Linked DNA regions of Caenorhabditis elegans. The protein of the gene in region 2 purifies or fractionates together with the protein of the main gene of each other region. This does not show direct contact. Each region holds a gene or a part of one and is shown on either strand. Other genes may lie near its edges.

Evidence for each region.
Region 1: the proteins of sad-1 (region 2) and Y20F4.8 fractionate together in Caenorhabditis elegans (co-fractionation; one large-scale study listed by BioGRID). This does not show direct contact.

What each region holds. Positions count from the first base shown.
Region 1 is NC_003279.8:2,048,556-2,052,102, forward strand, and holds Y20F4.8 (DUF5641 domain-containing protein), read right to left. Parts: upstream 1,623-3,547; coding exon 585-1,622; downstream 1-584.
Region 2 is NC_003284.9:13,497,406-13,502,532, forward strand, and holds the start of sad-1 (Serine/threonine kinase SAD-1), read right to left. Parts: upstream 3,258-5,127; 5' UTR 3,148-3,257; coding exon 3,130-3,147; intron 1-3,129. UniProt on the Caenorhabditis elegans protein: Regulates both neuronal polarity and synaptic organization when bound to strd-1. Kinase activity is required for the establishment, but not the maintenance, of both processes.

The DNA.
Region 1 (3,547 bases), on a different chromosome or scaffold from region 2:
ATAAGATCACGTAAGCATTAGAGCACGCGTAAGAGTTAGAGTGGTAAGAGTTAGAGAACGTACTATTGGGAGTATTTGCCTTGGGCTCAAATAAGCCATACAAAGTGCTGAACTATGAAGAATAATGCTTCAACATTACATTACTTACAAAAAATCAGGTTGAAAGCAATATTTACTGTCGTTCGCCATAATGAGACGACGAATCTTACAGCTCCTCGACTTGGATCCAACTCCAGAAGCGGGATCCCCAGTGAAATCAATAACTTCAGAACGATTTAGCCTTCCGCATTTTCATTTATTGAATTACTATTTGGTTTGATACAATAAAGTGTTGAGATACAATAAAGTGCAAATTGATGAGCATGATAGCAATCCAGGTGAACATATTAGTGAAGTGATGTTGATGAGGAAATAGAGAGACCGGAGTAAAACTCCCTACATACCCCTAGGTGGGTTCTGCGGGAGGAATGAATAGTTTGAGAAATTGAAGGATGATAAAACAAGAAGAGAGCAAATTAACAATAAATTTTTGGCGGGTAAAGGAACAAATTGTACACAAAAGGGAATTACTGGCAGGTCAAAATTTAATATTTAAACCTAACGTTTTGCCGCATTTCTGTCGATGCAAATGCGCTCCGCCGCACTCGATTATCGATTTCTTCCTTCTTTCCTTCGCGTAGAGCTGTTCTGCGCGACACTCCAGGGAAAGAAAACTCTCTGAATTTGGCTGGAATTCTGAGAGGTCTTGTTTTTGCAGCTCTTTTCAGGTGTGCACGTCCATCTTCTCGCTCCTCTTCTGGATCCTTGTCAACATTCACATCCTGTTCTTCGGTCACTGCGCCTTCCTTCGGAATATCTTCTTCTGGATTTTTAGCCGTTCCCGCTTCCTGCTCATCGGCCGCATCCACGTCCTCGACTGCCACGTCATCGTCTGGCCCTTCCTCTTCCTGAGCAACTTGAATTCGAATTCCCGTATTCTCCAGTGGAATCAGCAGATTCACTGGTTTCTCGACAATTCTCTTTCCCATTTTTACCATCACAGATTGCACCTCTCCATCTGGATTTTTCCTGTTCAGCTCCACGATCCTCGCCATTGGCCATGCATAACGCGGTAGCAATTTCTGGAATACCAAAACCACTTGACCAATTTCAGGTTTCAGCCTCGACGTCGCCTTCTTATGATGCTCCACATCTCTCAATGCTGCTATATATGACTTGCTGAACTCCTTCCATAGCTGTTCCTTGATAATTCTGAGTTTCTCCATCAACTGTCTCGTCAACTTTCCACTTTCTCCACCTTGTATCGCTTCGAATATCGATTTGTGATGTTCTGGCCGTGTCAGTTGAGCATTATACGATATGAAATCTGCTGGTCGAATCGCTGGAGCATCGTCCGGATCTTTCTTGTTTGGTGTTATTGGCCTTGAATTAATTATTCCTTCTGTTTCAATTACCAGCGTTTCCAGCTCCAAAATCGTAACAACTTGTTTCCCAAGGACTTTGTACAGGACATTTTTGATTAGCGCAACTAATCTTTCACACGGTATCACAAAAACTAGATCTCTCGTAAAATTTGAGAAAGATCTCGCAGGTACGCAGTGAAATGGTCCGCAATGTGTCATCGCGGTGTTTGCGTACTTGCGTACCGTAGTCCGCAAAACATTGCAGCGGCAAATAGATTTTTGAAGCAAATTTTAGCAGAAAAAAGGCAGAATTAATAGTTTCAAGGTGAAAAAAAAAATAAAAAATAGATTTTATTATTCAATTTAGTAGCTAACAATTGAGAATTGAATTATTGAAACACAGAAAAATTAATTTTGAACAGTAAAACAAAGAAATAATCGAAACGGAAGATTGAAAATTGAAAAATACATACAAATCGATTCAAAAAACGAATTTAATATGTGGAATCAGCCTCCTTCTTCGCTTTACGGATGCAAGTTGAAATTTTTCTTGGTAAAACTTTCGAAAATAAGGAAACCCGGTGAAATTTCTTAATTGCCTCGACTCCTGGTGAACTTTTTGAGATAAATCCATCGAAATTTTGCTGAGTAGCTCATTGACAAGGTTTCAATCTGAAATTTCATAAAATCAATTATTTTCGAATAATTTTAATCCCAACAAACCGAAGGAAATCCTGAATTTTAGCTTTTCGATAGAATCCTAAGGTGTCACATCGACAATTTTCCAAGTTGAAAGAAACCATGTGGAGCATCTCCGCTTATAATATCCTCGACAAAATATTGATGAGAAATCCATCAAATTTGCACCGAGTATCTGCTTGTCAATGTTTTTACCTGAAATTTAATGAAATTAATAATTTTTTAATAATTTTAAGCACAACTAACCATAGAAAATCCCGAATTTTATGATATTGAGGAAATCCCGAAATTTTAATTGCGAAAAGGTTCAGAATTGTGTGAGGGAGAGCGCTGGGTGGTTTATTGGGAAGACGAGGCGTCCTGCAAAGAAAATGTTACGATTTGTTTTTTTGAAAGGTTCCACTTACTTCCTCCATATCAGAAATTAGATTGCTACATGACAGCTCCTTAGCAATGTACAGGTATCTTTTCCCTGTGTTTCTAACCGAGTGGAAGCGTCTTTCGAGGCGATTGAAAACGGCATGAAGCGATTCGATTCCTTGCTCCGAAAGCCTTCCCAAATTCCTTTCCGTTTTTGCGACTTCTACTACGTGAGCAACCAGGACATGCAATTTTTGAGTGATTGATTCTTCTGGGTGGGCAGCTTGTAGGAATTCAACGAATTCCTTCATCGACTCATCCAATTCGCTGATGTCATCGTCAGAGAGCAATCGATTGGCCGACAATGACATGATTTTGGACAGCCTGCTCATCGCGTTCTTGACATTCAGAAGCATCGGAGTCATGTGGTTTTTCAGATTTTTGAATGCAGCTGTGACACCTTTCTCAGACAAAATCAGCTTCGTGTGATTTCCAGTGTACATTTGAAACCACGCTCGGCGTGTTGCACCAACTTCTTCCAGATCATTCTCAAATTGTTTAAGATATCCACCAGCAAGTCCATCCAGCGTCTCGTCCAATAACACTTTTTCTTCTTTCAGAGCAGTAAACTGTGCTTTCATCTCTCTTTTTCTCTTAAGTGGTGAAGCTTCGAATTTTTTGTTCGCGTCTTGAATCTTCAAATCGGCAACTCTTTTTGTCTCTTCTTTATTTCTTCGAATTTCAAATGATGTTTTATTGTCTAAACTCACAACGGCCATCCAAATCGGCTCAAAGATGTATTTCGTGAACAGTCCGACAATCAAGTGTAGCATTGCAGGCAAGTAGTGTTCCAACTTGACATTTTGAAGAATTGGTCCACTTCCGCATCTGACGCCAAAGCTACCGTATTTAGAATTGAGCTTGTAAGAATTCATTGTTTTCAAGAAATATATCTTTTGCAAGTTCAGATCTTTAAGCTTTTGCATCAGTCCTCCTCTTGGATTGGTTTCGAAACAAAACGGGCAAAAATAGGTGGCACATTGTTTTTTATGTGACAGTAAATCACATGTAAACTTAAAATCACC
Region 2 (5,127 bases):
TTGGATCAAAGGGACGGTGATATATTTTTCACTAGTATTGAGTGGGCGACACAAGTTTTCAGAGGTCAAGCTATTTCTTGCGGACCTCCATTGATGTCGGCTGCGCATAAATTTTTGCATGCGGCTAAAAACTCGTGCAAAATGGAAAATTGAAAACCGAAAACCGAAAACCGAAAACACCAAAAAATTTAAGTTTGATATACAATGTTAATGCAAAACTTGCCAGTCTACCCTAGTGCAGTCTGGTACCAATGCACATTTGTACCTGGTGAGATAATCTGACATAAATCAAAATTTCTCAAAGTAGCGTTTACCTGAGAATGTTTGAATCAGCGTTTTATGATGTTTCTGTGTCACACTGATCAAATATCATTAAAATCTAAAAATCATTTCCCCTTTGAGCCAACTTCAAAGTTTTCAGAAAACAACATTTTGAACCGCCATAAACATTTTTTTTAATTTTCCAAAAGGCATCGTTACAAATTGGGTGTTTTGGAATTTTTTTCAATATAATATCGAGCAAATTCTAACTCTACCATTGCAATCAAGTGCTCCAAATCATTGCCGATCAAGAAGTCAAAATTTACGATAACTAAGAAAGGTTTAGGTTTTTCAAAAAAAAAAACTTTAAAATTAACTAATAGAAGCTTAATCAGGATAAAACCAAACAGAAATACTTTTCTACATTCGAAAATTCTTCAAAAATTATGAGATTTGAAAATTCGACACTTTAGAATAGAAACGGTGAACAGTAACAAACATCTTGGTAAAAGTTTTAGATAAACAATGGGTAGAAATAAATTTTCATACGAAGATATATTTTGAACAAAAAAACCGTACAAAACAGGCGATTTTACCCAAGATGAGTCAAGACGGTGCTCCGATTTTCAGTCCAATTTTGGTATGACAAAAAGATAAACTTACAAAGCAAGGTTCGCTGGGAATAGGAGCCGGAAAGCTAGTATAATAAGAGTCCATTCTCGGTTTCCTCCCTCATTCAATTCTCAAGGACGTCAAGTAGAAGATGAAAAGGGTGAGAAGCACCGTTGGCACACCGGAGGCACTTTGAGAAAAAGAGGCGAAGATGTATTAGAGGGAGGAAACGAGGAAAAAAATGGGGGGGGGGGAGGAGGAAGAGGTATCCGTATCCTTTTCAATTTCTTCACTGACTTTGTTCGTCTTAATATTGATTCGGTTCGTTGTCTGTGCAACAGAGCTGCCGAAGCTCGAATGGGCTTAGAATAGTGTGTTGTATACGGCTCGCTTTCGTTTTCTCCTTGCGAATGTCAGTTCATCCGTTTCGTTTTTTTTCTTCCCTTTTTCCCCCCACGCTCTTTGTCTTTTTCTCTCACCTCATCCCCCGATGGTTTTTGTAGTGGGTGGTGGTGCCAAAATTGGAAGAGAATTAAAGACAAAATGATGTGGCGTCAATGAGAAAACGTATTAACTGGGGGATTCAAGAGAGGTTTTTTCTTATAAAAAATGTTTAGCAGCAGAGGAGCACTAGGAAACAGAGAAAAGTAGTTCGGAAATTTTGTGAAAATGCTCAGATTACTTTTCTCTGACAGTTTTCCCCAAAAAAAACCCGCCAAAGTGTTCACGTACCTCTAGACAATCGTCAAATCATTTAATGTCTGTAAATTCTCACTTGGAACAATTTCACGACTCTTAAGTATGAAACAATGCAATGGAAATATTTCATACTGGTTTTTACATATTATATCATTACTTATTATACAGAAATTGCGAAACATTTTTGAAATCAAGAACTCGAAAGGCTTTGGCAAAATGATACAATAAAGAGCCAAAGCCGAGGGGATGGGGGCTCTCTGACTCAGAGGGGTGGCTCAAATTCAATTTCGGGATTCCGAGATTCGTGGATTCAGATTCAAATTCGGACTTTCATTTTTCGTTTTTCCAATTTCATCTATTTCCTCTTCTTGGAATACACTCAAACAAATAACAGAAAACAATATGATTTAGAATTGAGGAGAAAAAAAGATAGGTTGGTTAATTTTGAATTATTCTCAATGGAACTATCAAATCTAGCTCTTACGCTTCAATAATATAGATTTTTTTACAGGAAAATATTTTGATTGTGTATATTAAGCCAGGTGGAAAGAACAAGGAAGACGTCACTGACGTTAGCGGTCTGACGCGTTTTGAGTACAAATTTCTATTTAAAAACTTGTTTTGGCGATTTTCAAAAAAGTCCTCAAAAGGTTTTATTTCAAAAGCCATAATCAAAAGTATTTTAAGAAATAGGCATAAAAGCATAAAACCATGTGAAATATTAACAAAAAATGTATAACACTCAAAAAGATTTTGTTATTGTTATTTTTTAATGTTATTTTTAAAAAAACTCACAGCATTTTTGCCAATATTGTCTATAATTATTATGAACGTTTCTGAGAACTTGGATATCAGGCTTTTTCCCAATCGAAAACTGATAATGATTAAAACCACCAAAAAATAAAACAAAAATCGTACGCTTTAAATGTAATCTCAACTAGAAATCTACCAAAACCGCTCCCAATCCTATCATTAAAATGCCTCTGAAATGGGCGAAAGTGGACAAGTAGGACGTGACTGAATAATGTAGTTTTGCCTGCCTCCCCCCAAATTCAAGTTAAAAAGAGCATGACGATGGAGCAAATGCTCCAGACTATTCCCAATGCGGATTAAGCGGGGCTCAGGCGGCTTCCTTTGCACCCAGAAACACGTGGAATCAAAAGTCGACTGGACGTCATTACGGCGAAATGAATGGATTATTAGAATTGAGGGACAGAATGTGAGAAAATCAAATGATTAATAAAGTTACGCATTTACCAAAATTTGAACTATATTCAAAATTTTCAATACAGTGTTCTTTTTTTTTGGAAAACTATTAATTTAGAAGATAATTATCTTTTTGAATTGTCAATTGCATAATATTAATGAACCGTGCATTAAAATTATTAATAACTATTAAGTAATCATTAAGGGTATTAAGTGATCAGTACTTTTCAAGTTTTTTTAAAATTGTACAATTTAACAAAGTCTGAGTCTTTTTAAACTTTAAAAAAAGTGACATCACATTTGATCATAATTTAGAACAACCCACTCAATCAGAAAAAAATCTGTACTCACCTTGAGAGCTTCAAACATGTGCAGACTTTGCCCGATTGACGAGCGCAGTCATGCGGCTAAGTTTTAAGCTTCCTTGGATTCCAAACGGGGATTTTTTTTGATTCTGCTCCTGAGCAGCTTTCCTGGTTCTGAAATCTATAGTGTTGATTTCCGTTTATGGTACAAATGTTGGAAGTGACGTTGAGAGAACGATTCAAATGCGAGAAAAACCCAACTTGTCATATTTCAATGAATTGGCAGGAATTTAGCAGTACACAATGCACACAGAGCACAGCTCTTTGCACTGCTACTGCCCTGGGGAGTACTCACTAAAAAAAGTGAGAGATGCACAGGCTTCGAGAGAATCAGAAAGGGCCCGTTAAGAGGGATGGGATAGGAAAAAGAAGTCCATCCATCCCCCCAGTGGTCCTGACAAAAAAAGGATCAATAAAAAATTGGAGAAGAGGAATCGGAAGGAAATCTAGTGGAGTGCTTCGCAAGAATTGTTAGTTTTCCAGATATAGTAAATGCCAACAACGTAGTCTTGGTTATGGTTTTTATACCGTATTTTTTTCTGGAGCAATACTTATTCTGGATGCCTAGGGAACGCAATTACATTAGAGAATGCAAAATAATTTCTGAAGGCCATTGAATAAAATATGTATAATATAATTAAAATCCTAATATATCTGATGCGACAAATTGAGGAAAAGAACTTTGAGAAAATATTTTTTAATAATGAAAGTTCAGAAAAAAAATACTGAAAACGATCTATACGAGAATTTTCTTTCGTATTTGTTAAAATTTGATACGAACCGATTTCAACTGTAAATATGGAACTCTTTTTAATTAAAAAAAAACGTACTTCAAAATTTGCGAGAATGTAAAATTCTGAACCTTCAGTTATTATCGCTGAGTTTTTTATACGTTTTAAAATTTTAGGTATCCTGATTCATGTAAGACCGCTGAAAATAAAGTTTCAGCCCCGAGATTTCAATTCAGTTAATAGGAGAATGCAATACTGATAGGAAAAATAATAGAAAGTGATTACCAAAATTGTGTTAAATTATCAAAAAAGGTGGAGTACCGAAATCTGCGACTTTAAACCAAAAATGCCCCAAAACTACCGAATTATGTAATAAGAAATTTTGAAAAGTACTCATAAAAAGTTATCACGTTTCAAAATTCTGGAAATCAAAGCTCATGTTCGACTAAAATCAAATATTTTGCCAACTTCTTGGTGTCACAGCGTCTGGAATTTAATTTTTATCAATTACCACTATTTCATAAACATTGTGTCCAAATTTCCAAAATGTTGAAAAATATGAGCTTTTTACTAAATTCAAAGCAATGTCGCATGTTCCTACCCCTACAATGTTTTATTACAATTTATTTGAACAAAGTATAAAATACGTAGGAAAAATTTTTCCTTCGTCGACTTCTAAAATTATGAGTGGCAAAACTGAGTAATTGCCTCTTTTTGACAGTTAATAAAAAATTTTCAAAATTTATTTGAAAAGTTTTATGATGATATTTGGTCATTTTGGGTCCATAGAAAGTAGTTTTTAACAATTTACCCACTGGCGCTACTCCACTTTTAATATATTTCACGTTGGAACAGTCTTCTTAATTTTCTAGAATAGAGTCTCAACTAGTTAAGTATTTTCTGAGTGCACATTGCACCCATCAAAATTCTCATTGCGTGTCATAATTTTCAGGTTCATTACTTTTCTTCAACTTTTAAAACTCATTCAATGTTCATTGCTCTTTAACCAGACAATGAAATTAGGCAATAAAACTTGTGAAAAAAAACAAACTACTAAGGAAATTAGAACGTGAAAGAACAACAAAAAAAAAGAGAGAAAAAGAAGAAAAAATTTGGAGAAGTGGCTCCAGGGGGCTAGCGTGGTCGCGCAACGCTGCCTGCCTACTCAATAGCACGGACGATAAGCCGTTGTGGGAGTGAAGACGAAGAAGGCTTGGGCTCTTTTCTCACTCTCAATTTGGCATGCTCATGCT